3 linked regions of the Lonchura striata genome follow. The protein of the gene in region 3 binds, or shares a complex with, the protein of the main gene of each other region. Links are inferred from orthologs where the notes say so. Each region holds a gene or a part of one and is shown on either strand. Other genes may lie near its edges. The genes, in order: DR1, MBIP and YEATS2.

Region 1 (10,031 bases), on a different chromosome or scaffold from region 3:
CTAGACTAAGCAATTTTGAGAACAAAATTTGTATTTAGATTCAGTGTATTCAAGGGTTTTTCTAGTGTTTTCCCAGCATGACTGTAGAAATTTTGGGAAAACACGCGAGTCTTTAAAATCAAACTATTAGTATGTTGGATAAAATCACATTCTCAGGATGTTTTGTTTATACCATCAGGCATCTTATTTAATGATGTTTATGCTGCATCTAAGTTTGCTGTGGAAGGATTCTGCGAAAGTTTAGCTATACAAGCACTCAAGTTCAAACTGCAGTAAGTATTGATCCACTGGTGTAAATGGCATTGATCCACTGGTGTAAATGATATTGATCCACTTGTGTCAATTGTATTTTAGATAGTTTAAAATACATTCAGAGGTAGGAAAAAAATCTTTAAAGCTTGCTGCTAAACAGACTGAGAAGCCCTTGAAAACTGTACATCACAAAAGACATAGAAATGCCCACACCCTTCACATTATGTAAGCAAATAAAAAGATCTAGATGTTCAAATAAACATGTTCTCTTGAACAGTTAAAGGTTAGTTAGCTTTGGATAAAATACAGTTCATGCAATGCTTCTGAAAACAGATTCTTACCTACAGTATCACAGGAGTAAAATTATAACTTTGACCTGTGATCTTTCCCCTTGGAAAGGATAATGGCCTTAGGCAATTCACAGGTTAAAAAGTTCAAGGGCTTATCAGAGAGACTGAGCAAGTGCAAATCCATCAGAATGTTACAGGGTGAGATACCTGTAATGAAGGGGGGTGGGAGGAAAGTGAGAAGTGTGGTGTACTATTCCTAACATTTTACACAGTATTTAGGAGACCCATCCTGTTCATCTGTGGGACTTCGGGTTTGATTTGTCACATGTAATTCACATGTAATACTCATGCAATTCTGCTACTATTCTTGGTGCAAACTCCAATAACTGGTAAGTGTCCATTGCATTTCTGTGTATCTAAGCATTTGGGCCTCGAGGAAAAAGACAGCTGCTGTTGTGGAATTTCAGAGCGAAGTGTGATTATGCATATTGCTCTGCAAAGTTAGGAGGGACCTAAATGTAATAATACACAGGATATACCACAATTCATAATGAGATTGCAGGAGTATAAGACACAGTAAAAAAGAGGTTATAAAAGGAAGTATAATAAGACAAATTCAAGGTCTAATGGGAAGAGTGATGCAAGAGAAAGGGCTTTAATTCCAGCAATAGTTGGAATTCTGCTGTGAAGGTCAATAGCTTGATTTAGTTCTGAAGAAGAGCCTTTAGAACATCCCCTGAAGAACTCAAGTCCAGTAAGAGGCCCAATCCCAAAGAATGTTTTGATAAACACAGTGGCTGGGTGTTATTACTGCCTGAGAAAAGAACCAGGAAAAATCTGACCAGTAGCTGTATTTCAGTGATTTGCTATAATATGCTACTGGGCAAAATAAAAACTTTGAGATTTGGCAGCAGCCAGAATCTGTCCACCCACTATAAAAATCTCTGTATTGCATTTTATTATTATATAGTGGCGGGATCTTAAATCATGTAACACTAACAGCTTGAAAAAGAAAATCCATGTTCTGGCAATTCCCCTATCTCTTTCAGCTACTTCTAGTATTATAATTAGAAACAAAGAAACCTATGCAGGATTTGGTCCAGAAAGTAATGACTTTTGTTACCATCCATTAATTAATTTTCTTACTATCTGGTAAGTCCTTGTGAATAAATCACCCTTGGATTCCACGGCTGTGAGACAGCAGGTAACAACTGCACTCACTTATGTCATGAATTAAGTTACAGCACTTCTCTGAAAATTGAACTATGCAGATTTCTATCACTATATGTGGATGGGTAGAAGGAGCAGGGCAGCAGTAATGCAGTATGGATTGCCTTTGCAGAAAGTACTGTTACATACTGTTTGCTAGTGCAACTTTTCAATGTTCTTTTTGGAGAACAATTGAGGGTGTATTTTCCTTGGAGGACAGAAAACAACCAGTTAACCTCTTTTTTTTTTTTTGAACAGGTTAAGTTTGATTGAACCAGGCCCAGTGGTTACAGAGTTTGAAAGAAAAGTGTTTGAAGATGGAATGAAAATGGATCTTTCAGCTGCAGATAAAGAAACAGCTGAGATGTTTACTAACATTTACCTTAAAAATTACAAACAAATTTTTCAGAGCCTGGGACAAAGTGCTGAAGATGTTGCAGAGGTAACTCATAAAAAATTCATCTTTTGTTGTTGTTGTTTTCTTCCCTTTGTAATTTATGAATACAGTGGTTGGCTGGTGGGTTTTTCTGGTAGAAGCATTCAGATTAATTAAATGTACACAATTAAAAAGTTTTTTTAAAAATTCAAAAGAATTTTCAGAGTCTTTAAACAAAAGTCTACAAAATACTAAAAGAATGTTCATTTTGAATTATTGAAGATAACTATGAATTGTAATTTAAATACTACTCAGATATTGGATGCCCTTTACATCCTCTGGTGAAGTCTGAATATTCTGCATTGTTACCATACATCCACCCAGGGTTCCCAGTACTGGTAAAGCTCTGTCCTTTCCACCTCACTCATAATCCCTCCACTAAGGGAAGTTCACACAGCCACCCCAGGCCACCAAGGCACAATAAAAGAAACTTGGATGTTTCTGATGTTTGAAGCTTCCTGCAGGAAGACAAGTTTAGGCCACCTGTGGGAGGGGATGATGATTTCAGGTGTTTGCTAGAAGGAGTATCTTTAGTGTCAACTGATGATTCCCAGATCTTGGTGTCAAAGGCACAGTCCTGTCCCTTTAGCAGTGAACTGCAAAAGAGAGGATCTACCTACTGTGGGCATATAAGCCCACAATCATTTGGAAGACTACTCAGGATACTAAATTGTCAGATGCTATTGCCATGGTATAGAGAAACAGAAGAATAAATAAGAAATACTTCTTATGGCCTTTGAATATTTCAAGAAGAATTTCTAATGATGGTTTAGTAAAACTATACAGGGTTTTACATAATTCTAGCACTTTATTCTTCTACTTTTCCACTGAAAACTGGGTTTTTACTTTACTGTCTTGGTAAAGGTTCTTTTAAAATTCTGTTTCTCCTTCTCTACAGCATACAGTAAAGATAATTCTTGCAGAAAATCCACCTTTTCGCCATCAGACCAACACCTTGTATACTCCAATGACAACTCTGAAGTACGCAGATCCAAATGGAGATCTACCCATTGACATATTCTACAAAATGGTTTTTCAGCATGACAAAATCTTCAGTGCAAGTCTCAACTTCATCAAATTGCTACGGTGGAGAAGCAGAAAGAGCTTTGACCTGGGAAAACCTTCACAATAAGTATGAGATTATATAGTGCAAATTGGAATTATTTTTTGTAGCTACTGATGACACAGTATGTTGTTATTCAAATGCCTTTGGTCTGTAATTAAGAAAATGCATGCAAGGTACTTGTTTGAGCTTAGCTAAGATATTCATTTCAATGTGTATCTCTTGAATGTTACTGTTTGCAGACCCTTGCAATTAAAATCCTCTAACTGTAGTTTTATTCTGTTTAGTGTTTTGCTTTTTCCAGAGATGTTTTCTTAGGAACACGAACACTGACTGATATTTGTGTATTCAATATTAACCTGACCTCCTTCACTTACTTGAATATAATACACACTGAGAAGTGTACAGTATGCAGATGATTTAGATTCTTAATATCATAAAAATATGTTTTTACTTATTAGGATAGAATCAGTATTGTAATTGGTCAATTACACTGCCATTCTCATTTCCAGAAGTCGGATCTATTTATCAGCAACATAAAAGAAAGTCTCATCAATCTTAAAATGTGACTAGTAGAATATTTATTATTAATATATTTTTATTATAATATTCTAAATGCTTCCTTTATATGCAGTGGTTACTAGCATATTGCACTTAGCAAGCAATAAAATGTTTTTTTAAAGCATCTTAAAATAAAATATCTTCTTACTGTCTGGGTACTACTTTTTGAAAACAAAGAATTGTCAGTAATAAGTAATCTCAATCCACTGAATTCCTTCAGTACCTTCGGTGTCTGATACAGAACCCTCTTGTTCCAAGCTATCCTAATAAGTACGTGTTAAACCAAAATTCTGTCATGTAGAGCGGATCTTTTCCCTTGCTTTTTCTCAGCCTAGTGCTCCAGGTGGTTTGAGGCCAAGGTTTGAGGGGAGCCTGGCTGCAGTGCTATTGCTGAGCCTGTCGTTGCTGTTCCCTGACCGCAGCAGAGGCCGAGTGACCCTCGGGCCTCCAGGCTGCAGCTTCCCAGCACATTCCACCCACAGAGCCCAGCTTTCCTTCAATACCGTCTCAGAGAGCCAAAACCTAATTCCGTGCTGCGACTTGCAGCGGCCCCGCCCTGCCTCTCCCCAAAGGAGCTCAAAGTTTCTGCGGCTCCCAAAGACTGCGGCTAATGCAGGGCTTGCTCTGCAGTTGTGACCCTTTTGGTGGGGCCTAGGATGCAGGGGCATGCAGGGGACTGAGGGGACAGGAGCAGCCGCAGCAGCTGCTGTGCACAGCTGGGGGCCCCAAGCAGCCCAGCATCAGCGTGTGGATGAGAGGTGAACAGAAGCAAGCCCGAAAGGAGAGAGCAGGAATTAAATGACAGCAGAGTGCTGCTGGGGCTGAAGGGAGCCTGGCAAATTGCCCCTCTGCAGCTGAGATCTCCTTGCCACCTGCTGAGGGTCAGCACAGGGTACTGGACAGAGACACCCACAGAAGGGCTAGGCCTGCCAGCAGCCCCAGTGTCGCTCAGCTGTGCTTGTCTCTGTCCTGCAGCTCGGGCTGGGCTGCATTCCGGGGCAGTTTTTTCCTTTGCAGCACACAGCAAGACAAGACCAGGGCCGTGGGTTTAGTGAGCCTTTCACAAACACTACCGTGGTCTGGCTAATTCCGTCTCGTGCAACCCTCACACTACTGGCTATGAAGTGAGTGCAAGCAGAAAACACAGTGTAATAGATAGATAGCTGCCGAGTAAAGCCAGCCCTGCCTGCAAGTCGTGAATCAACTGCGGAGGGACGAGCCTGGCGGGGCTGTCAGATCCCCTGCTGCTGCCGGCACCGAGGGGAAAGCCGGGTGTGGCCGGGTGTGGCCGGAGCGCAGCTCCAGGCGGAGGGCGGCGGCTGAAGGACCCCTCGCCGCCGCCCGCACGTGGCAGCGCGGCCTTTCCGGCGCTCCCGGCGGCGGAAGCCGCTCCGGCTTCCGGCGGAAGCGCCGTCCCTCGCAGGCTGAGCCGGGCTCGGAGCGTTTCCGCCTCGCGGCCGCCGCACGGCCGGGCCAGCCGGGGCCAGCGGAGCCGCGCGGGGCTTCCGCCGCTCGCCTCCCCTCACACAGCTCTTAAGGCAGCGGCGCCGGCGGCCGAAGGATGTGGCGGAGGCGGCAGTGGCAGGCGCCGCGGCCGAGGGAGCCCTGAGCCCGAGCAGCGCTTCCCGGCGCCGCGACCCTCCGGCCCGGCAGCGACCCCCGGCCCGGCCCCGCCGTCCCCCGCCCCTCGGCGACGCCGCCCCCGCGGCCCCGCCCGCCCCCGCCGGGTCCCCGCGCCCTGGAGGCTCGCGCGGGCGCCGAGCGCAGCCCGTGAGCCGAGCGCAGCCAGGATGGCCTCGTCGTCCGGCAACGACGACGACCTCACCATCCCCCGGGCTGCCATCAACAAGATGATCAAAGAGACGCTGCCCAACGTCCGCGTGGCGAACGACGCCCGGGAGCTGGTGGTCAACTGCTGCACTGAGTTCATCCACCTCATCTCCTCCGAGGCCAATGAGATCTGCAACAAATCGGAGAAGAAAACGATCTCCCCGGAACACGTCATACAAGGTGAGCTTCCGCGGGTGCTGTGCCGCTGCCGGCCCGGGCACCTGGGAGCCGCTCCTGTCCCGCTGCCGCGTTTTCCCCTCTGGTTGCTTGTAGCTACGCAGAACACAAAAGGCAGGCTCTGGTAAGGGTGTGGAGGAGAAGCGTGTGCTGTCTGGCTTGCCAGTCGCGCTGCAAGAGAGCATGTCTTTGTGTGGTTAGAGCGGCTGCTGGCTGTGCTCAGGACCAGCTCCGGTGTTGTGCCTCAGAGAAGCCTGTGGTGCTGTGAGTGAAGTCGTCAGATCTCTTCCTCGTACCTGGGAAATGAGGTCTGCTTTTTCGAATGGATGTGCAGCGTGTTTCAATAATATGAATTTAGTAAATTTTTTTTTTTTTTTAGTTGGAGATTGATTATGTGGGGCCCAGACTTTATTCCATGGTATTCTTGTCTGGAATCTCTAAAGAGTATATTTCTTTAGGACTGTCCATAGAGTCTCATTGTTTAATGTTGGATCTTCGTATCTGTTTCAGAAAGCATTTAAACGTGACCTATGCCCTTGTATTTTCTGTGCTGTTTACTTGCACTTCTACTTGCTTGAATAAAAGGCGAGTTCTCTCTCTGTCTTGTTGGTTTTTCTTTAAATTCTGTCGCAAATAGGTTTTCTTGCCTCATCCCGAAGTCTGCATTAGGCATCGTTTTTTGTCAGAAGTCACTTGCTTTGCTTCTTAAGCCGGGGTTGTTGATGTCGTTGTTTGCTGCAAACAAATTTATAGCAGCAGTAGTGAAAGAGTTCTTCACTCGGCTGCTTAGTAGAGGTATTAACAGCAGCATTTGTACTACAGCTGTTTTCAGGGCTATGATGGTATCGAGTTCGTTTAAAAAAATCTTGTCGTGATCTGATTTTTTTAAGCAATATTTGCTGTTTGAAGGAAAAAAAAATTACAGAAGAGGTTTAAGTACTTGACTGGGTCATGAACTGCAAAAGAAAATAAGTAGCATGTACGAGCTTTAATATTAAATTAAATGCATGTAAGCTTGCAAGTTTAGCAAAGTAGCTCCATCACAGAAGCCTAGGATGTAAAGTAAAACCTGTGCTTGCACATGGAAGCATACTTTAGGTGTGATGCTCTTTAATACATGGATAGTTTTTTCAAGTCGCCACACAAAATGTTTGAGGTTAGTTCTTAACACAGGACAACGTGTAATCCTTAAGACCGAGGGCAGTAAAGGGTTTATGTATGAAAGTATTTTGTACCCAGTAGTGGTAGTCTGTAGAAAAGAGTTCACCTATTGCTGTCCTAGGCTTTGTGCAGGTTTTTTGGAACAGAAATTGAAACTAAAGTGGGTGTGCATAACATCAGCAGATGGTCCCATGCCAAGTATTTTGCTGGGTTCTGTGTCCTTATGTTATCACATCTCAGAGTTAGAAAAAGTTATTTTCAAATTAAATCTATACTTTGTAGCAAAATATTGCAGTGTATCCATTTTTGTAATGTTTTAGAGATGAATGGATTTTCTGCTGTGCTTATGTTTAAGGAAGTAATTGCTATTAGCTCATTTCCAATGCTGGTCAGCTGGCAGATGATCCTTCTGTGAGGTTTGAGGGTTTTGATTGCCACTTTTGGAAACAGTGATTGTGTGTATAAGTAGAGCATTTCAGCATTTTCATCAATCTTCATACATTCTAGATACTTGCTGTTTTGAATGCCTCTTAATGCAGCAGCGTCATGATAACGATGCTAACAAATGAGGCAGTTGAAATCTGTTGTGGTCGCCCATGTATCTTTTTTGTTCTGAATGCTTAGAAGTCAAATGAGGCTAATGGCCATCACATCACACCTGGCCCAGCCTAAGCACAGGGTGCTGCCAAGAGGAGTCTTTTTGTACTTTCTGAGAGCGGGAGAGTTCAGATTGTATCTGGCAATTGCAGATACAGCTGACCCTGTGGCCTTTGAGAATTTAGGGCAGAGCAGGGTTTCCTCTCAGGTGAGTTTGCTGGCTGACTGGGGTCTACATGGAATTGTTGTGCAGTAAGGTAGGCTGTGGATTGATGTCAAATCTTGTCTCTTCTTTTCATGGACTGTTAGGATACTGACAATGTGTATATTAGCACGTAATTTTAAGAGTCCCACAACTGTTCATGTTTGGGATTTTACTTTGGGAGGTCTTATTTCCTTTGAAAGGAGCATAAAAAATTAAAAGTCTCAGATATTAATGGATTGATTTTATAAAATAAAAGTATTACTAGCTATGTGTCACTGATTACTCAGAGACCTCCACCTTCATGCAGTCATTAAGAGTAGGAGGAAACTGGGAAAAGGATAATTGTGATTTGGTGTTTGTAAATATGAATGGTGCTATCCCAAATGCTGTATTTTGGAATTCAGCTGTTTACATTTGGTGGGATAATTCTAGCCTCAGGAAAATACTAAATTTTAAGTCATCTGGGTAGGATGGTATGTTTAAGACTCAAAAAATAGAAAGGCTTTGAGTTTTGATGAGAGAGCAGCTCTGATAGAGTAGTAGTCACTTGTCCCACATTTTCTCACCATGCTTGTATAAAGGGATTCATAGTCCTTCCATTCATATGTGTTCTGTAAGCCTTGATGTGCTTCAAGAAGATGGTCAACTTTGTAAGTTGTTTCACAGGCAGCAGAATTTTGATGGAGTAGATTTATGATGCATAAATCATTTATGGTTATTCATAGCTTTGTTATATTGAATAACTGTAAAAATCTGTCTTGGTTGTATCACGTGAGGGATTTTAATTTTATTGTTGTGTGTGTCGGTGCTATATTCAATTCACAATTGTAAGTTCTTTCCATTAATTTATTTTCTTTTAAGAACCATATAAAATTTCTGCAAAAACACATCTTGAGATTAACTTCAGACTCGGTAGTCTGATCGTTCAGATTGCCAACCCTTTTCTTTTGACAAACACCTCTGATTTTGCTGTGATGATTTGTCTTAGTGATGTTAGACTTGTAGATTTCTTCAGTTTGATTTAAAAAGTATGACTTAAAGAAGTTTTCTGTATATATTGTCATTTTAAAATTGATATATTGTCATTTAAAAAATATATATATTACATTTTAAAATTGAATGAGTTCTTAAATATCTGTACAGTATTAACGTAACCAGTTCTGGTCTATGAGACATGGATTTGCCTCCTCTCTGCTGAGGCTGGATGAAACAAGCTTTTGAAGTTTTTGGTAATTCTCTCAGAAACTGTGGGCTAATTGGAAGAAGTATTTTCAGTGTCTGTGTGTGGGCTGAGTCTGAACTGGCATACTGTCTCTGAAGTAATTTGGTTGTCTCTAAATCAGTTTGTCTTTTAACTTCATTTCTTTAAAAGAAATAAGTATTATGTGAATTTCTTTGCCAGGTGTTCTCTATTAAAGAGAAGGTAGTGCTGTAAGACTAGAGGGCAGCACCCACAGCACTGCTGAAGACTGTGTGAGTTGTCTCTTAGTACAAGTTGGAAGCTGAAAACTTAGAGAATGCCTTTGGGATATTGTTTAGATTATGGTACCATGATGTGCTGCTGTAGTTATGGCTAGGAAAATGTTGCTTACAAAACTAGTGTTAGAATATTATCTGAGTTACTGTAAGATCTTGTTTATAACAAGTTGTTGATTGCTGTTGTGCAGTTTAGTGCCGTTTCTTCAATAGCTTGTCACAAAAGTTTGAAATTAAGATAAAGGTTAAAACAACTCTTGTGTTGTAAACTCTGAATTGTGTAAATGCTGGAAATTAACCATGTTTTTTATTAAACTGATACTTGTTTCTAGTATAATTGGTGTTTATGTAATGTTTCCAGTTTATTCTGTAATAGGTTCACTTTGGGTGTGTGTAGAGGCATGTCATAGTAAATGGTGCATGAGGAAACTGCCTTTTGTCACATGTGCTACCTGGGTTTTTATAATCCTTTCTGCTACCTTTGCATTCTTTAAAAAAAGTGTTGTTGCAGGATGTAGCTGCTTTGCCAATGTCTTCGGGCAGATAAAAGTGCAAGATTTTAGCTTCTGAATACATTTTAATGTGGACATAAATAGAAGGGGTTCAGTTGAGAAATAAAACAATAAAGTGCTTATACATAACTTTATATGGCTTTATATGTGTGAACTATGCATTTTATATATAGGAATTTAGATCCTAAAAGACAAAAGTTAAAATTCAGCAACCCAACATAATATTATTTAGTTCTGCCTTTTTGAAGGATCTATGATCACT
Region 2 (10,031 bases), on a different chromosome or scaffold from region 3:
ATAAACATGATGGCATATATCTATTTCATTCTTTAAATTTAAAATTTAGAAAAGTCTTTCATTTTTTCCCTGTTTAAACTCACATAAATCACTTACTTCTGCTTTTCCAGCTTTTATTTGGACCACTTCTGGATCAAAATTAAAATGAGCATCCTTCAGATCTCTCAAGTCATAGCTTCCATATTTTTCTTCAGTCTGACTGTTACCATCATAAACATCTAAATTTGTCTGGCTTTCTGTTTTACCTCCAGGTTCAACATGGCCTACATTTTCCTCTTTGATCAATGACTGGAGTTTTTCTAATAGAGGCTGAACAAAGAAAACAGTGTATTAGGGTTAAAAAAATATAAGTCCAAAAGTCCCAAAGTCAAGAAGACAAGTCCTATTACAATTTCCAAACCCAACCAATGGAAATAATTTTGGGAACTGCAACATCTTCCTCTGATGGAACACAGTAATTAGATAAAAAAGAAGTTCCAAATATTGTGTACACCACGATTCTGACCTTTTTGACCTGCCTTTTAGAGGTTTGTAGAAGAAAACTCCCAAATTTCTGTGAAAATCTGCCCATACTTCTGTGTTACTAGCTAAATCAAAGCTTCAATGCCACTTAATTAACATGTAATTCAAATGCTTACTCAGAACAGTAAGGCTTAGTATTTTTCCTCCTTAACATGAAATCCGGTGCTCTTACACTGTAAAGCCTTTATCACATCAGCACTACATTCTCCACTTGAAACCGTAGTTGCCCAAGTGAATGAGAGAACACAGACATGAAATACATAGGCATTATCATGAACACATGCTTTGTTTGACACAGTTGATTATCTACTTAGGTCATGAAATTAAATGAGAAAAGGCACTGACATTTGTGGCAGGAAAAATGCTTATTTTACTGCAGTAACTCATATGTACAATGTAACATCAAAACTTCAGTACATAAGTATGTCCCTGTTTCTTTTTTACTTCCATCAGTTTCATGTAGTCTGAATTTCACTGGTTATTTTCTCTCAATAAATTATTTTAAGTTTTTTAAAGACAACATGATTTTTAGCAGTCACATTTTATGAAATGGAATCAAATTCCCATTTACAGCACTCTTACATGTTGAATATAAATTTTACTTGCTTTTATCTTGCATATTTTCTCTTTCTATTCATCACACCAAAGATCTGGTGGATGTCTGGAAAATAAAGGGTCTTTTTTTTTTACCTACAGACAAGAAAACACAGAAACTTCCCTTTTGATCCTCTCAGTACTAGGCACCTCAAATCATTCATTGGCTAGCTACAGCAAATCCCATCTTTTACACATGAACTATCAAGGTCAAAACACTGCTCAGTTACCAGCTGACAAACTGCTAACCCTCCCTGCCATGCAACTAAATTACTTTTGGCAGGGTTGGAAAGTTTCAAATAGTTAAAAGAAATGACAGTAATGGTGACTGGCTACTTGGCAAGATGAGACATTAATGTCAAAGAAATTACTCTTTAAAAAAAAAAAAACTACGTTGAAAATATATTTAATTGCAGTAAGACACTCCAGGATGTGTCATGCTGGGATAATGCCACTTCTTGAACCACTGAAAGCACTCTATGAGCCTCAAAACTCACCCAACGCATGGAATCATTATCATAGCATGACACACACCTGCCGTGTCTTATTGCTTAATTATAACCCACCATAGATGGAAATGTATCACATTTACAATGCAAGTCTAGAAATCAATGAGGCTGCAGTTATTCAGCCTGTTCACCTACAGTGGCTATTCCCACCACTAATCTGAAAAATCTGTAAATGTGAGTACCTATGGAGCATAGTGGAATCCCAAGCATTTTGTACTTTTGTAATCCTTTTTTATCGAACACAGCAATGTAAGAACAAAATTACTGGAATTTTACAGTAAAGATTACTTTTAGCTGTTGATCATTTTGTCAAGTCAAATGTGTCCCATGAAATATTTACCTGTAAACATAAAATATGCTGCTGAAGTGCACTAAAGAGCAAAGCTGGCTGAAGTGCTGATGTGCTCTGAAGCTTGGTCCAATCGATTACAACTTTCACAATATCCTCTCCGAGATTAAGCTTCAATAGGGCAAAACAATAAAAAATTATATGTAGTAACATCAAAAAAGTATACAAGGCTCCTACAAGACAACAATTATGCTCAGTCTCATATAGACCCATTCCAATTTTAGATGAGAGCATCGGAAATATTTGATATTAATTATAGTCCAAGCAGCTGCCATTTTCCAAATAAGCTAGTATTTGTAGAATATACTATAAAATTAAAAATTCCTTACTTAGTCATCACACTTTCATTGTATTAATTCAATCCTTGGCTTTATTTAATTAATTCTTGTATGAAAGCATGTTGTTCATGTTAATCACTCACACGATCTTTTCTTTTAATGAATACTAGAACCACCAGTATGAAGAACACGACCCAGGATAGCAGTGTCCTGTAAGTTCATGTATTTTATTCCAAGATTGCAAGACTATCTATGCCTGCATGTCTTGATGTAACACCATGGCACAATCTTGAATTTTTACTTGCTGCTAATCCAAAAGAAGCTTTATATTAAAAATAAGGGCATAAAATATCTCAAAGTTTAACAAACTCTAGCTTAAACAGCATCACTATTACAACTGTTTGCAAATCACACTATTTTCCTGTATATTCATTCATATTGAAATGAACAATTGCCACAGTCTATTCTCACTGCAAAGGAATTGCAATATTTAACTCCCAAGACAATAAAGAAAACAACACATAATAAATTTGAAGTATTGTTTAAAAGAAGTATGTATCTTCTACAAGCTATAAATACACTTCCTAATACAAATATGATTATCAATAAACTCTAATGAGCTAACACACTTTCACGCCCAACTTTGCCCTTTTTGTTACTCTAAAGCTTTTCCCAAGATCTTAAAGAGATGATCACTTTCATTCTCCAAAGCTAAGAAGGTTGTTCTCCAACCAAACATCCTGCAAGTGATACCCCAAATTCTAAACACAGATAAATTCCTGTTTGAAATCAAGAGGACTACAGGTACTCTGCTAGCAACACTGAATTCCCAAATCATGTCTGTACTTGTATATCTATTCCTCATTCCTTCCATTAAAATAAAAAGTAGGGGTGGAAACAGAAAAAGGTACCTCAAGAAGATGACAAAAGTGACCTTCAACTCATGGTCTAAAGACATTTAACTCCTAACAGCATCAAACCTTATAAACAAGAACACAGAATGCATATGCACTCATGTCCTGAAGCCACCACAAAGTGTATGAAATACTGAGAACTGGACACAAGAATGTCTCATCACTCCACAGGCAAAGCTGTGGATGATAAACTGTCCCACGTTAGTTTCAAATCCCAGCATTAACACAATTTTGTAAAGAATTATAAGCCTGAACCTTCCTTCTTTAGTCAAAGATCAGCCTTGATAAATTCAGGGTCAGTTCCCAAATTACATAGCAAAGGAGACAGTCTGACTAGATATATAATGTATTTTAGATAATTTTCACAAATGGTTATCCCTGTTTAGTACTTAAGCTAAGTACACAGGATGTAGGAGAAGTAATGTTCTAGGATATACTAATCTTGAAGAAGTTTCAAAAGCAAGAATGTATTTAGAACATAGCAGGAATAAAATTTAATTTAGGAATTAAGCCATTGTGCATGTGATCATCTGAAGCATGTATTTCTGCCTGAAGTTTCTAGAGTAATATCTCCTGTATGCTATATTATAGTCTACTGATAGGGTAAAAAAGGGGCAGATTAAAGTCATCCAAATGAAACAAAATAGAAGTGCTACTGCAATTTCCTAATAAGTCTCCTTTTTAAAAAATAATAATCTGATATGTGCCTTCACAATATCACAATGGACACCTCCTGTCCAGGTGGTTCAAGGCACAAAAAGCAACAGAACTTAGAATCATTTAGAGGACAGTCATATTTTTAATTCAGACACTGCTTTTAAATAAAAATATAAAGCCCTCCTGCATCAACAGAAGTTTCTAGTACCACAGAGTAAGTTCTCAGTCTTTCACATCCTACTACTTATTAGAACTGTGACAAACAGATTTTTAAATTCAATGTTTTGATAACTTCAAAGCCTTTGACTAATTACAAGTCCACAGCCTATTCAATTTACAGGATTATATGTAATTTCAGCTCTTTGAAATTTGTTTTACATAAACACTGGCTATCATTTGAATCTTAAAGAACTTTTCAGGATCAGCTATATTGGTTTTAAGAGCTGTTATTCTCAGATGTCCTGGTCACATACTGCCATTGATTGCTCCATTAAAAAAATCCTGTGCCAGAAATATTCCTGCTTACTGCCCAATTTACTAGCATAAAACCAACTTAAACTACTGTAGTGAATCAAACTGTGACTGCTAACAATTTGGCACATGCTTAGTCATCTCTATAAAAGGGAAATGGGGAATCAGTAGTTTCAGTCAGAAATGCAAGGCAGTTTGCTAGAATCCCTAAGCAGTTAAATCTGTCAGTACTCAAGCACTGGCAGACAAGTGTCAGCAACTGGAAATCAAAAGGACTTTCACAGCTAAGATGGAGCAACCAGATCCTTATCCAACCAGTGCACTGTTGAATGTGACACAGTGAAACGTGTCTGTTGTCAAGGAAAGAAGACACTCCAAACACCAAAGAAGACAATTATACTCTGCACCATAGCTACTGTAACTACTGAGGGGATGTAGCAACTCTAAGCAGTTCTCTCACAATGGTCTGTGCACACACAGTTATTTTTAAAAATCACCAGGGCCTTTCCAATGACATGCTAGTTGTAGAGGCAGCTTTGCAGAAAAAGTAAGCTGCTGAAGTCAAGAGGTAGAATAAGAGTTTTTAATGTAGTTTATAAACAATTCATAAACTTTTGATGAATACCCCAGTTAAAATCTTAGGAAACTTTCCCCTTATTCTCCTTTGTATTTTTCATAAATACAAGAGTTCCAGCTTTTCTCTGATGTGTTCTATTACTGTCATTCATAGTGTTGTCCTCCCACTTAGATAAACTGACAGTCACTAGCTCTTCATTGATCACATTCAGAATTTTCACCAGGAAGGATTATGGGGCCTTTAAACCTCAACAGTTTTCATGCCTTGGTAATCCTATGCGTCAGCTGTGTCTGGACATCACAGTGTTTAGTGCTGTACTCCTGTTCAAAAGCCATAGCAGTTTTTAACCATTTTAGAGAGAGGAAAACTGAGACTCTTAACTAAGTCTCTGAATTACCAAGCCCTTAATTTTTCTTGCCTTTTGTTTGAAAATAGAGACAACTGCTAGCATAGTTGGAGGAGAAAAGCAAGTATAATAAAATTCTATACAGATGAGAAGTGAAACACTCTAAAATATCATTTCAGATCAGCCAGCAGCTACTCCTAAACTGCCTCTGCATCTAAGAGACCAATTCTTTACCAAACATACATTAAGTTACACTAGCTCCTGCATATATTGTTCATCATCTGGCCCCAAACTTTCAAACTGCTAACTCTTGAAGTAAGAGTGTACTTCTGTCTTCACAGAACTACATAAATGTTTCCACAGTGGAAAATTAATGTATAAATTGTTTATACCAATAAAAATGTTATTACTAAAACCTTCTCCTGACAAGGGCGGGCCTTCCACTACTACTGTAACATTTGTTTCACAACTCACAGACATTACTAAACATAAAGTAGGTGTTTCAATTTAAGTGCCAAAGAGCAGAGCACCTTTAAAACTTCTGACCCTTAGAGGCACTGCGTGTTTCATAGCATGCCATTACCAAGGCAGGGCTAACTTTAAGCTCCTGAAAATTTATTTTGATTTAATGTACTGCAAGCTTTCAGCAGCTTTTCAACTCTAAGCAATTAATTAATAAGATACAGCAATTAAGCAAATTGCACTTTCCCACGGAAGCTATCATCCGTCAAACTACAAAGCGGCGCGCGAGGTCCCGTCACTGCGAGGCCAAGGCACGGTCCCGGCTGCGGGAGAGACGCAGCGGGAGCAGCAGCCACGCACCGGGGGCTGCCCCGGCCGCAGGGAGCGGGGGAGGCAGCCGGCACCGCCGCCCAGCCCCGGCAGAAACCAGGCGGGCACTCCCGGAAGAGGCAGCTGCCTTATCTGCCCCGCAGGCCGGGGGGAAGCAGGAGCCAGCCCTGCTCGCGCCCCAAAGCCAAGTGTTGTGAGGCGGGCGCGGCGCCCAGCCCAGCTCCGCCCAGGACCTCTCCCTCCGCCCGCCCCGCACTCACCTGCCCCGCCAGCCCGGCCAGACAGCGCAGGGCGCTGCTCGCTACCTCGGAGGCCGCAGGGTCCGCCTCCGGAGCGCGGGCGCCGGGCGGGAGCGGGCCGGGCACCGCCACCGCCGCCGCCATGACGCAGGGCCGGGCCGCGCCGTCGCCCCGCGATGACGAAGGCCTGGCGCTGGCCCCGCCCCGCGCGCTGATGGACAGGCGCGGCAGCCAATGGCGGCGCTCGGGCCGCTGTGGGGGCGCGCTGCCGGGAGGCGCAGCGCGGGCTCCTTCGGGGGAGCGGCCCGCGGGGCTGCCTTTCATCGCGCTGCTGCCCCTGTTTCTGCTGGGCCTGGCTGGCTGCCCCTCACTTTTGTGCGTTCATGCGTTTTGTTCAAAGCCTTGACTCCTCTGGCTGCAGCAAGGTTGTTTTTAAATCAGACTACGAGTTTTGTGAGAGTACTCTTGATTTTGGGGGTCGGAAAATTCTATTCCCTGTAAGACATTTTACTTTTAAATTTCTTCCCTAAGAAATTTAGTAGAAATTCCTAAGAAATATAAGTAGAAATGCATTCAAAGGTTTCCTACCCGATGTTTGTTTTGATACCTATTTTTGATCTGTGACTTCTTTCTGTTCCCTGACTATATTTTTTATTCAATTGACAAATAGTGAGTGCAGTAGTATATACAAATGTTAAAACATTGTTAAATAAAAATATTAGAAAGGAAGATGAATTTATTTGACTGATGTTTTGAGGGTTCTTTTTCAGCTAAGACATACCTTAATGTAGTGAAAATAAATGCTACTAAACAAGGCTTTCAGCACCAGCAACCCACAACATTTGATGGGACTCAAGCAGAGAAAGCTCTGCTCAAGTTCCAGAGAAAAATTAGTTCTGAAGAGGACTTCAGTGTTTAATGATTACAAACATATGCATTGATGTCTGCATTTTGCAAGAATATCTTATCTAGGCTGAACTAGATGGCATTTGCTTGCGTTGATGAGGACCAATGTTTGGATTCAGAAATACGGCAGAATGTATTTGTGATTTAGAAGCTCTGAAACATAGAAATGTATTTAATTCCTGAAAATACAGTTTTTGTCAGATAGTATTTTGAACACGTGCACAGAATATGGTAGTAAGTTAAGAACGTTTGTGGAATTCTGTTTTGCACTTCTGTGCAACAGTAGTAATTCCAGCTTACGATCAAGGGCTGCTTCAGCTAACCTTGACTCTTGCAGTTTTTGTCTCTGGACACGTAGCTGGAGCAACCCTGCACTATGTAATAATGTCATTTGGATCAAATAATGAAGAATTCAAGAATAAAGGAAAATACACTGCCCTTTCCCCTTCCCCTCCAGTGCTAAAACACTGAATTAATACATAAGTGATCTGCTGGCCAGAGCAGAATTATGGATCACAGATGTAACAACCTGGCATCGGTGTCAGAGAAGGCAGTTTATCCTGAATGAATTCCCAATGACCTGATAAGACAGAACAGGTCCAGGCATTTGAACCAATTCTTTACTTCAATTGATGAGTGCTCAGCTACCTGATAGATTCCAGCTTTCCTAGAGTGATGGAGCAGATGTATCCTACTTTATCAATGGGTACGTGCAGCCTTCCTAACTGAGAGATCTAAGATCTTTCCTTTCCTTTTGAGCATGTTATCTTTACCTGTAGCCAGAGGTTGTTTTGGGGTAAAAAACATTTCAAATGAAAAATAAATAGGTAAGCATATAAATATCAGAAAGATACATGGAAATATAAGGGAGATTTAATGAATGTGGAGGATTTCAAAGACAGTGGGAGTCTCCTTGTAATGAGCACCATTATTCTGTGCTCGTTACAAGGAGAGTAGGCAAAAGTAGTCAGTAGAGCTGTTGATGCCCACCTTTTATTTACTAAGCAGAAACTGGATCTTGGGTGCCTTCCTGCTGTTTGCAAATGTCTCCTCTTAGAGAAAGAGTAATGATTCCCATGGGGAAAGACTTTCTTCCTACTTGCTCTGTCTCAGAAGACCTTGATCTGAGTTGCAGCTGCTAGTTGAATAAATTTGGTATTATCTAATGTTTCACAGATTAAATTAGGCAATGCATTAAACAAACAGCTAAGGCAAAAATGTCAAACCTTCGTATCTAATGGAAGAGACAGACCAGAACAGAATGGTTCCAGAAGATGATTATATACTCACTGGATGTAGTGCACAGTAAAAATTAATTCACTTGTAATTGCCTCTGGAAGTAAAGCTAGCCACAGTAAATCCAGGCCTCCATAAAGACAGAGGAAATTACATGGCATGTTCACTAAAGCTGGTGAAGCAATAAAATATTGGAAGCTCTCATTGCTGGAAAGATACTGGTAATTTGGAATAAATTTATAGAAAACTGGCAAGAAGTAGATTGCCAGAGATAGAGATACTTGTTTAGAAAGAGGAATCAGAAGATTTAAATATGTCTAACTTGGCAGTAATGTCCAGATATTTTAATAATATGACAAACAAGGGAGGGAGTAATCTGGAGTTGCTTTCAACACTCAGGGATAGAGCTGTCATGATAATATTAAATCTTTTGCAGCTTTGATCCCTGAATGGATCATTGAGGTATATAAAAGCCTCTCCCACTGAAAACACCTTGAAAAATATAAGCACAAATCCACTAAGTTCTTAAATATCAAATATTGTGGTTGGAGTAAAATTATTTTGAACTAGAAAACTATTTTCTTTTGGTTTTGGACTATTGCTTCTTTTTATTTTGTTTGTAAAATGATAAACATTCACCTCTTTCGAAGTCTAGGTGCCTTTAAGCTATTTAAAATCACAGTAAACCTTAGTAAATTGACACAAGTTCTCTCCATTGGTCATTACTGTCATAACTCTTTCTTCTCCTGAATATTACAGTACACAATTTCTGAACTCTTTAATTTTGTCTCTAATACCCAAAGAAAGGTGAGTCTTGGCAGAATGTACCAGTCACTGAGGTTTGTTGTGCCAAAGAGTGAAGTGCTGAGCTAAGGAGACTGTGTAACATATAAGCAGATTTTTTCTCCTGAATTGAAAAGCTCATGCTGTGTAATTCTGCTTATGTCAGCTGTAGCACAGAGAAAGGCAAAAGAGGCAATGCTTCAGAAAAAAAAAATAACAAACAAAACAACAACAACAAAACAAAACAAAACAAAACAAAAAACCCCAACCAACCAAAAAAACCTGAAATAATTTGGAGCTTCAAAGATAAAAACAATACTGTGAATTCTGTCCAAAGCCCCAGGAAAATAGTTCAGTTTGACACCTTGCTGTAATTGTAGTTTTTCCTAATATTCAGATTATCAGTGCTGGGCTAATTTAACACAGTTATAAAAACGAAATTGATAGTAACATATTCATTAAATCGATAAATAGGGTTAAAATAGGAAATTACCAAGTCCCTCCAAAATAAAAGCTTTTATTTTTTTTTTTCCAAGCATTAATTTCAGAATTAAGAGCACTTCACTTCTGTTGCTTCCCAAGTACCCAGGAAAAGGCATCACCCCAACAAAGTTTATGGATACTGTTTCAACAAGATACTTAAGCTAGTGCCTAATTTTAAGCACTAGCCTAGCTGGAGAAAACCTCAGCCTGCATCCCTAAAATGTAGTCATGTGCTTATTAAGTTCATCAAATAAGGCTCTGAATTGCAAATCTGGCTCTCCAATAGGAGCTGCATTCCTTCAAAGCAAATGTCTCTGCTGACCTTTTGGTGTTCCTTTCACTTTACCAAAGTTTAGAAAGCCCTGTTCACACAGG
Region 3 (10,031 bases):
TACATGTCATTTGGGACTCTGTACAGTCATGAACACCCTGCAATTAGCAGTCATTAAGGGCAGAGTGCTCAGAACTGGGGTTTAACTAACAGGGTTTGAGGCTTTTTAATCTTGTGAATTTTTAATCACTCTGTGATATCTCCCTGATTTATCTCCTGCTTTACTGCTGCCATCAGTCTGTTCACCAACCATTAACAGACTGACTGCCAGGATAAAGGGAAGATCGTTTCACAGCACTGCCCGAGTCTCAAACAATCTTGAAATCTTTATTATTTTTCTTTTTTCCTGAAAAGTCCCCAAATGCATGTGCTGCCACTGTCTTCCTGTGAAACAGGAAAACATATTCCACACTTTTCACGGCTTTGCAAGGACAAACTGTGCAGTGTCTGAGAAACAAGACAGTGCTCTCAGGGAAAAACTGAGGAGGAAAAAAAATGCAGAATATTTCAGAAACCAGAACCAGGGGCTGCTGAACAACTTTGCAACTCTTCTTGAAGACTCCTCCTTGCCAGGACCCAGCAGATGATGCAAAGGTCTCCTCTCCCACTGCCACCCCACTTGCAGTTTGTATTCCACTATTTCATTCAATCACATCTTAACACCAAACATCAGCTAACAGCCACTGAAACTCTACACCTTCCTTTGCAAAGACTCCCTGAAGTCTTGTTACTCCCAGAGTAGTTTTTACCTCGCCAGCTTTGAGGAGGCCAGCAGAGGCATAATAGTTAGCCACAATGCAGGCACGCAGCTTGTCCATCATCCTCCTGGCTTCAATCAGGCGCTGCAGAAAGGAAACAAAGAGTAATGGTCAGCACTGCAGCAATCCCCCATGCCCCAAACACCAAGACCTTAGGTATTTATAAGAACAAAACCTTTATACCTGATCTATAACTTCAATTTCATGTTCTTTACTCTTCATTTCGACGGCAAACTGTTCCTTTATAATGGTCTCAATCTTCTGCACAGTAACATCTCGAGCTGTACAAGGCCACACATGGAAAATAAAGGAGGAAGTATTTACATTTCTATTTTTGAGGCTCCATTTGAAAACAGAAAGATCAGAAATCACTACAGAGTGAGAACTGAAGGGATAGTAAGTTCAACACACAGACACACATAAAGGGAAGGATCATTTTCTTAAAAAAAAAAAAGTTATGTCTTAACAAAAACCACATGTATCTTTAAAAGCCAGCTTATGTGGAGAGCTATTTTTCCCTTTTTAGGTCTGAGATGGCAAGTAACAGAAAATGGGAAGAACAGGGCCAGTTTGTTTACTTCTGCCCCAGTAAAGCTGTAAACAGTAAAAGGAAAACTCCACAGTGCTGGCCCAGCGCAGGCACCGCTGCGACTGCGCCGGAGCGAGCTGGAACACCACGGATGTTCTTCTGCTCTCCTTGGCCAGAGCCACATCCAGGAGATTTACACCACCTCACACAGCAAGAATCAAGTAAACTCATATTTATACAGCCCTGGCACGAAGTGCAGCCTGCTCTGGAGTGCCTACAAGCTGTTTATTACTCACAAAGGAAACTACATTATCTAAAGCTGGTCTACCTCTTACAAAATCCTCTTCCAGCACAGCAGACAAAAAAATTTAGCCTTTCAGCAGGAGTTTAGTGACCTTGGTGGAAAGTATGTAGTTTAGGATTTCAAACTGTGCAAATACCTTTCCGCAAGTTAGTGGCTAAGAATGGAATTGGCATATTACCATGTTTTTCTAGGATATGTATAAACATAACTATTCTTTTTGCTCTACACCTACTGTAGACTTTAATATCACCCTTCATTTAGGGCACCTCCATTACACCAAGGGGTTTCAAACAACTGTTTTCAGCAAATTCTAAGTCAGAACCTGGCAAAGCAGGAATTACACTTCTAGAAGAAAGCCTGGAAAAGGTGCTCCAGCCTGTGTCAGTAATGGAGTGACCCCACAATAAAGCAGATCAGCAAAAGTCTGGTTTTCCCTGGAAAAATCTTACATTGTTTCTACATGAAATAGGAGGCAACAGCACAAAGACTTTGGCTTGAGCTTCAGAGGAAGCATATGTCCTCCTAAAAAGTACAGATCTGTTTGAAGAGGTTTCTAATATCACCAGAGAGAAGGGAAATGAAAGCAAGTCAAAGCTTTGCTGGTATCTTCCAGATAGCACAGATCATTTTACTGTCTGATCAGGTACTTACAACAGGAGTGAGGCAACTGATGCCTCTATATGCAACAGGGGTATACTAAATAATTTTCTTCCTTTCCACATACATATATACACACAGGCATATATATATATATGTATATATATATGTATGTATATATATTTATATGTTGATATATATAGGGGCATATATATATATGTTTGTGTGTATGTGTATAGTTCAAGCCTACATTAAAACACAATTATGGTCGAATCTGCATTTGAGTAAGGCAAATTAAAAACCAGAGGGATATAATTTACCTCCAGCCATGAACCCACGATGAAGAAATTCTCATGTAAGGCTATATGCTTAAAATAAACAAAACAGATCAAGGCATGAGAGGTATAGTTCAGAGAGGGACAACTGCATCTCCTTCCAAGGCTAAAGCCATGCCACAGCAGCATCATGATGATTCAAACACTTCAGGATTTGTGGTTATATTACAGAGGCTTTTAAGAACACTTTATATTAATTTTTTCTCAGCTTAGTGTCAACCACAGTGCCTCATTAAGACCATGATAGTGAAATTTGTGTAGTTAAGGAATTCTAGTATTGAAAGCTGGAGATCTTTCATGAAAAGAAGCCAATTTGGAGGAATCTCCTGAAAGCAAAGTTCACTTTGGCAAGGCCAGTTTTCCAAGGCCCTGAGACTCTGCCTGCTCATCATCAAGACCTCCTGGAAGTTTGTTTCAGAAGCAGATTAAAAACCTGCCTGCAGCCCCTGGGACACGCCAGAACTAAGGGTGGTGGCTTCTGGCAGCCAGGCAGGGCGGGCAGCTGGGAATGGTGACATGGGCAGCTCCAGCACAGCTGCACCAGGCCCCACGTGGCAGAAGGACTTGTCCAGCAACACACTCAACCCTGAGTTCAGCCTCCTCAGACCTGTCCAGCTGTACAGCATCCTCCAAAACATCACCCACTGAGCCATCCTCTGTCACTCTCCAACTGGCAGCTCTATTCCTGGATCTTTTTCAGAGCCCACAGCCAGCCTCGGTTTTCTCACCTCCCTGTTTGTCAGCTCTTCCCATCGCAATCCTCTCTCACTAGCTGTGCTATGCCAAAAATCACTAGCCTACTCCCTGCCCCCGGGGCAAGCAGCTCTACTCTCATTTGCCCAGAGAGACTGCAACCTGTCCCAGGCACTGTGCCAACAGGCTGGTTCCCAAAGCAAGCATACCCAAGCGTGCCAAATGCAAACCTACTCATCCAGCTACTTGCTCCACTACACTTCTTTATCCACCTTTCCTTCAGTCATGCTCCTGTTCCTCCTCTCTTGCATGTTTCAAAGTCCCTTCCTTCTCCCTAAATTATCCTTTCTACACTTCATCAAAGAAGCTTCCTTCTGCTTCATCTGCCAGCTCGTGCAAACATTTGTCATCTTCCAACAGCCAGTGCGTGCACTGCAGGGTTGTGCATCTCTTTTACCCTGCAGGGTCATGGATTTTTTTTCTCCTCCCCACGCTGTATTGTGACCTCTATCCCCCAAAATGTAAACAACCTGCCAATCTTTCCCAGAGCACACTTCAGCCACAGAACAAATACACAGGCTGGATAACTACTCAGCACAGGAAGGTGGACTGTAACCACTTTAGGAAGCAACAGGAATCAAAGCGCTGAACTAAAGTGCTGGACAGCTTGTGCTCCATCTCCTATCATGCACCAAAGGCTGCCTCCTCACACCTTACTTCTGGTTCAGATAGCAGGAAGGGAGGACTCCACATAAGATACATCTTCATTTGGCTACATAGAGGTACCACCACTGGCCTTGCTCAACGTCTGTCCTTTGCTCCTAATGCCTACCCCAGCCTTTTCCTGACTGGTTTACAGACAATTTGGAATTTCCAATTCCACAGCTCCTACCTGACTGTTCGGCTGCTTTGTGCCGCTTGCTGGGATGTGTGACGGTGATCTCCTCATAGTCGGGGTCCTTCTCTGCGAGCACTCTCTTGATCCCAGACATGTTCTCTGCTCCACTAGCAGGAAAAATAAAAGCATTAACCTTTCCCACAGTGACCGTCAGGGCAGGCTTCAACCTCTCACCATGTGGAGGCCTGTGGTGCACCCCTCAAAAGAGAAGGGGCACCTCTCTAGTGGGGGCAGTGATCAGGGCGCAGGTTCCCAGCCGAGAGCTGGTTCTGTTCCGCACAGCCCAGGAGCCCCAAACGCCTCCTGCCGCCTGCGGCTCACCGGAGCCGGGGTGCCCACAGCCCCAGCGGAGCTGCAGCGGCCCCGTGAGCCCAGGAGAGCGGGGCTCCCCCCGCACGGCACCGCCACCGTTCAAAGGGCAATGCTGGGCACACCGGTGCGTGCGGCCGGCGGCGGGCCCAGCTGCCCCGGCACCGGCCCGGGGCTCCCCGCTGCGGGGTCACACAGCGGCTGTGCCTCGCCCAGAGCGGCTCGGCCCGAGCCACGACCCTGCCGTGAGGGGGCGGCGAGCACCGCCGAGGTGGGAGCGCAGCGGGGCTCGACCCGCAGGCGTGAGGCGGCGCGGAGGCCGCCGCGGTGCCGGTGCCGGTGCCGCGGTGCCCCGGGCGCGGAGGGCGGAGCGCTGCCCGCGGCCGGTCCCACGTGCGGGCGCCGCTCCCCTCCCCCGCCGCGCACACAAAGCCGCCGCCGCGGCCGCGCTCTCTCTCCGCGCTCCGCCCGCCCCGCCGCTCACCGCGCTCCGCCGCCCGGCCCGGCCCCGCCGCCTGCACCGGCCGGCCCCGCCCGCCGCGCCGCCCGGGGCGCTCAGCGCCGACCCCCGCCGCGCCGTCCCGCCGCCGCCGCCATGAGCGCAGGGCCGAGCGCCGCCCGTCACGGCCGGGGCGGGCCCGCGCAGGCGGGCAGCGCGCGGGGCGGGGCGGGGCGGCCGCGGGCAGGTGCCGCCTCACGGCCGGGCCGCGCTCCGGGAGCGCCCCGCGGCGGGGTGCGGGCACAGAGCGGGCACAGAGCGGGGAAACCGGGATGGGCGACGCGGTCGGGCTCGTGTACGGACAGGCGAACGCAGTGATTTGATCCTGACCTGGATTAACGTGGTTTAACGTGTTCAAAGGTCTGAGGAGGACTTTTTAGCGTGGAAGATATTTCACGGAAGAACGATCGAGGTGCTGAAGCGTGTTCAGAGTGGCAGCGGAGCCGGGGAAGGGGCTGAGCACAAGTGCTGCGAGGAGCAGCTGGGGGAGCTGGGGGTGTCCAGCCTGAGCAAAGGAGGCTCAGGGGGCTCACGGCTCTGCACAGCTCCTGACCAGGAGGCTGCAGCCAGCTGGGGCCGGCCCTGCTCTCAGGGAACAGCACAGCGTGAGAGGACATCGCCTTAAGCTGTGCTGGAGGCTCAGGTTGGACATTGGAGGAAATCCTTCACAGAAAGGGTGATGAGGCATTGCTACGGGCTGACCGGGGAGCCGGTGGAGTCACCTTCCCTGGAGATATTTAAGGAAAGACTGAATGTGGCACTTAGTGCTGCGGTCTAGTTGTCAAAGTGATGTTCAGTCATAGGCTGCACTCGATCTCTGAGATCTTTTCAGCCTAATTGATTCTGTGATCCTATGATTAGCAAAAGAAAAGACCCAAGAAGGGAGTCCTGGAGTGATCGCGCTGCAGAGAGCACGAGCTCACAGCATGAGGCAGGATGGGAGCCCTGGTCTACCTTTAGATAGGCTTCAAAAAACCCTTATACTTAATACTCATCATACTTCATATTCTCAAGTCAGAGCTAAACCAGTGCAATGGGTGCGGCTAATGCCATGGTTTGTGTTTGGCTCTGGCCAGGCTGCAATACCTCTGTCACATACAGATAATGGTATCAATGCTATGGTCCGTGGCAGCCTCATGCTTCATTCAGTTAGCCCTGAACCAGCACAAATTAACATCCTGTTCACTCTTGGATTGGCAAACTGATTTATGAGGCTACTGATTAGCAGGTCTATGCTGAATGTTCAAAGCTTAGCCTTTAAGGTCTTCTCATTTCAGGATCACTACTATCCTTTCTGACACTACCAACCTTTCTTTCTGCCAGATGTGAAGTATGGCAGATCAATGGAGACTGTTCTTAAACACAATCAGTATCCTATTCACCAGGAATGACTGTAGTGTATTTTATTTTCTTCCTTTTTTCTGCTTAATGGAAAGAGGAAGAAGCTGTTCTTAGAATACTGCCACCAGTTGACTGTATTTAAGATTTAAAATATCTTAAGGTGGGTTTTTCAGCTCTCAAAAGTATTTCCATTGCTTTGCAGTCTGTGGGGATTCTCTTTCATTTTTTTCCCAATTACTTCCTTCTGCAGTAAGCTGAGCTTCTGCAAGCACTGAACTTGCCTGGAAGTTGCTTTCCTGCAGCAAGAGCCAGTCTGTGGCTGTACCCAAGCCTGGCCACACTGCAGAGCTGCAGCAGTCCCTGCTGGCCTGCCACGTTTTCAGCAGGGCTCTGCCCCCTGCAGCCTTGCCCCCTGCTCTGCCATGTGTGTGTGGCATCTTGAGACGGCCAAGCCTCCAGTTTCAGAATAAACCTACAGGATTCTGCCCAAACCAAGTTTTGCTAGTGACCTTCCCAATGTTTTGTTACCTTTTCCCAATTTCCTATGCTGGTTTTGCCTTCTGAGTCCATTCGCATTTTCTTCTCATCACAATACCCAGGACTAACCCAGTATTTCATATCCCACTCCCTGCTTTTCACTTTTTCCAGTTTTGCTTCAAGTTTGCTCTTCTGTGCAGCCTCCAGCTTGCCTTTATTCCCCGTGGTAGGGCAGAAAGATCAGCAGAGAAAACTCCTAGACTGGGAGGCAGGAGAAGAGATCAAAGGAGAGAGAGTGCACAAGGGGCAGAATCCAACAAGTTACATGGCCCAAAAAAGCAGGAGGGAGTTTCCTCCTTGTACCACACCAAGCCCCACCCTGGAACTTCTCATAAACTAAATAAACCACAGTGAACTATTCAAAAGGCAAATGTTTATTAGATACACTGAACTTTAAAAAACTTCCAAAGAATTATGCAAGAAGTATATTTAAATATAGCAGGTGTTAACTGCAATTATGCTACATTACAAAATCACTTTTCTACTGTCAGCACAATCTGAAGACCTTAATGTTGTGTGTGAGATCCGTTACATTGACTCTGGCACACAGTAAGTGGTCTGAGCTTTCCTGTTCAGATGTCATTTGTGCTGCACCAGGCTGTTCTTGAGGGCAAGATCAGCTCTCCGTGAACTACAGCTTTTATGTTTCAGTAAATAAAGGAACTGGCAAGGAATAACAAGAACTGTTTTCCTCAGCAAAAAAAGGAAAATGAAAATATGATTTCAGGCGAAAATATGAGTAACTGTTCAGGAGGTAAACTCTCTTTCCATGGCCAAGTAGTTCCTATTAATCTGACTCCAAAGTGCTACAGGTGCACCAAAAGGAGAATGACTCATAGGTCCAGCATTTACACAGATGAAATTAGTAACAGTACATTACATTCAAGTCTCTTGATTTGCTTATTGCCGTGCTGCACCATATTATTGCTTCATATTTTGTGTCTTGAACAAGAGGTTGATGACTTTGGAGAGTTCAGAAATATCACAGAGGCTACTGACTAATACAAGAAACTGTACATGTTAAGGACAGGAAGTCAAAGACTAAACTCAGTCCTTTGTCACTGAGGCGTTGCTGGAAACAAAAATTAGAAAAAAACAAATACTGCTTTCCCTAGATTAGATCTGCAATAGTACTGTAATAATGGAAGCATTCTAGGCATGTTCTAAACAAGTTTAACTGTGCTAATTAATGAACAGCAAGATTTATTTCTCCTAGAAGGACATTAACAGTCTGGACAGTAAGACCAATCATAACAAAGGCAAAAAACTGGGAGGAGTAATCCAAACTCTTCTTCAAAATAGATAAAAATAGTGGTGAATTCAAGGCACAGGTATTTTCAAATTTAACACACATTATTTTCTTTGGAGCTAATCATACAAACTAAGCCCTGATTACAGTATTAACAAGTTGTACACAGGGCCTTAATGTGCATCACTTGTAACAGCACTATCAGAGAATGATCACAAAATAATTCACATACAGATGTGCACACATAAACATATTAGCATTGGCTGGATCTCTACAGTAGAAAAAAAGAAATATTCCTGCAAATAGCTTACAGTTCTTAGACAGTAACGTTATAATGAACTTGTGTGTGACACAAAGGCAGGGAGCAGAGAACACTCACAGCTGCTTTGGGCTTGGTGGGAGGCTGCTGGTTACAAAATCGTGATCCATTTTAATTAATGCCACCTGAAATAATTTCATACTGAGGAAATTTGTGTGCAAAACATATTTTACAAAACCCAAAGCACTGCTTGGCCCCCAACCAGAAAGCAGGTTTCTGCTTAGAAATTTCATCTTTCCCTGTAGGTTCCTTTTCTGAGTATATGGTGCTTAGATTTTTTTAACCATGCACAACAAATAATTTAATTTGTAATTTCTTGTGTACATGAGACTGCATTCAGATGAAAGTATTCGCTGTGCCTCACAGTGATCAAGTCTTGTGACATGCTTAATCCTCTTGAATTGGGTTTTGCCATCTTCAGTGGTAAAGAACCCCACAGCTACTTGCCTATTTGGGCAATTCAGAAAAATGAACCCCTGGCTTTCCTGAGCATTGCCACTAGCAGACCATAAGCATATCTGCATCTTTATTGCTCCAGGTGAGTTCAGTGAATTGACAAATATGAAACATTTTACCACCTGAGTTTCAGCATGTGGAATTGCAAACTTATGAGCATCCTGAACACCTTGGTTTCAGCAAGCCCAGCTAAACTGCAACCCCCAAACACCCCGGGTCTCCTCCTGCCATCTCTGAGCCTGCTCCAATGCTTTTCTCCTGTCTCTGCTCTTCAGAGCTGGACTCAGCCCAGGCTCTGCTGGCCAGCACCTGCCCTGTGCCTCGGGCAGGGGCAAACATCAAGTCACAGGCAGGGAGTGGGCCCGCTTCTTGTTCTGCCCCTGCAGCAAGTCAGAGACAAGCAGGATAAACAAAGGTTTACCCAAGATAATGAGGTGAACTCAGCTGTTCTGAGGAAGAAACTGAACAGGCAGTAGCATCCTTGCTCTCAAGCACAGGTGACCAAAGCTTCCTCTGAATCTCTGTCCAAGTGAGCATTTCCTCTTTCTCCATCATCAGCCTCTCAAAACTTTGCAATGTTAAAAATACTATTTAAAAAGCTTCAGTAAATTATGGTAAGGGTCCATATCAACACAATCTGCATTAATATCTCTGCTTCAACAGTGTAGAAACAAAGCTATCTTTGATGAGAACTGCATTGATGCCAATCAAAAATAAAAAATAACAATACTCCTTTGGTGCTGCAGGGGAAAGCCCAATCCCCCAAATGCCTACCAGACACACCACACTACCAGTATAAAATGGAAGAGATTCCACAAATTATGCCCACTTAACCACTCCCAAGGAGGGAGTCTACAGGTACAGCTACAAGATTAGCAGGCAATGTTCTGTGGCTGATGGCTGTAGAAGGGGAATGCTCAGCCACAAGCCAAGGGCTAGAGGCTGCACATGCTGCAGTGATCTGTGATTCAGAACCTTCCAGAACCTGGCTGCAAGAAAGCATCAACTGTCTCTTCAATTAACATCACATTGCTAAGAACAGAAATGGACATCAAAATAGATAAAAAATATTTACTCATTTCTGTTTAGCAGAGTGAAGACAATTCTTAGAATTTATTTTTAGGTGTGACTTGGAGATGCTTGAGCCCTCTTACGTATGGTTGGACTGAAGTTACATCTTTGTGCGGGTGCTCTAGAGCTACCAAACTTACTCCCATTTATGATAGAAATAATTTGATTATGGTAGATGACATTAATAATTTTCTCTC

Evidence for each region.
Region 1: YEATS2 (region 3) and DR1 share a complex: the UniProt entries of both Homo sapiens proteins name them as parts of the ADA2A-containing complex. The link is inferred for Lonchura striata from reciprocal best matches to the Homo sapiens genes YEATS2 and DR1.
Region 2: YEATS2 (region 3) and MBIP share a complex: the UniProt entries of both Homo sapiens proteins name them as parts of the ADA2A-containing complex. The link is inferred for Lonchura striata from reciprocal best matches to the Homo sapiens genes YEATS2 and MBIP.

The regions. Positions count from the first base shown.
Region 1 is NC_134611.1:20,784,209-20,794,239, forward strand, and holds the start of DR1 (protein Dr1), read left to right. Parts: upstream 1-5,519; 5' UTR 5,520-5,601; coding exon 5,602-5,821; intron 5,822-10,031. Other genes in the region: retinol dehydrogenase 8, read left to right, coding at 179-272, 2,010-2,193, 3,086-3,319. UniProt on the Homo sapiens protein: The association of the DR1/DRAP1 heterodimer with TBP results in a functional repression of both activated and basal transcription of class II genes.
Region 2 is NC_134608.1:24,890,997-24,901,027, reverse strand, and holds the start of MBIP (MAP3K12-binding inhibitory protein 1), read right to left. Parts: upstream 6,402-10,031; 5' UTR 6,393-6,401; coding exon 6,270-6,392; intron 2,086-6,269; coding exon 1,966-2,085; intron 310-1,965; coding exon 97-309; intron 1-96. UniProt on the Homo sapiens protein: Inhibits the MAP3K12 activity to induce the activation of the JNK/SAPK pathway. Component of the ATAC complex, a complex with histone acetyltransferase activity on histones H3 and H4.
Region 3 is NC_134612.1:2,975,356-2,985,386, forward strand, and holds the start of YEATS2 (YEATS domain-containing protein 2), read right to left. Parts: upstream 4,887-10,031; 5' UTR 4,847-4,886; intron 4,500-4,846; exon of another isoform or gene 4,161-4,499; 5' UTR 4,148-4,160; coding exon 4,048-4,147; intron 979-4,047; coding exon 881-978; intron 782-880; coding exon 689-781; intron 1-688. UniProt on the Homo sapiens protein: Chromatin reader component of the ATAC complex, a complex with histone acetyltransferase activity on histones H3 and H4. YEATS2 specifically recognizes and binds histone H3 crotonylated at 'Lys-27' (H3K27cr).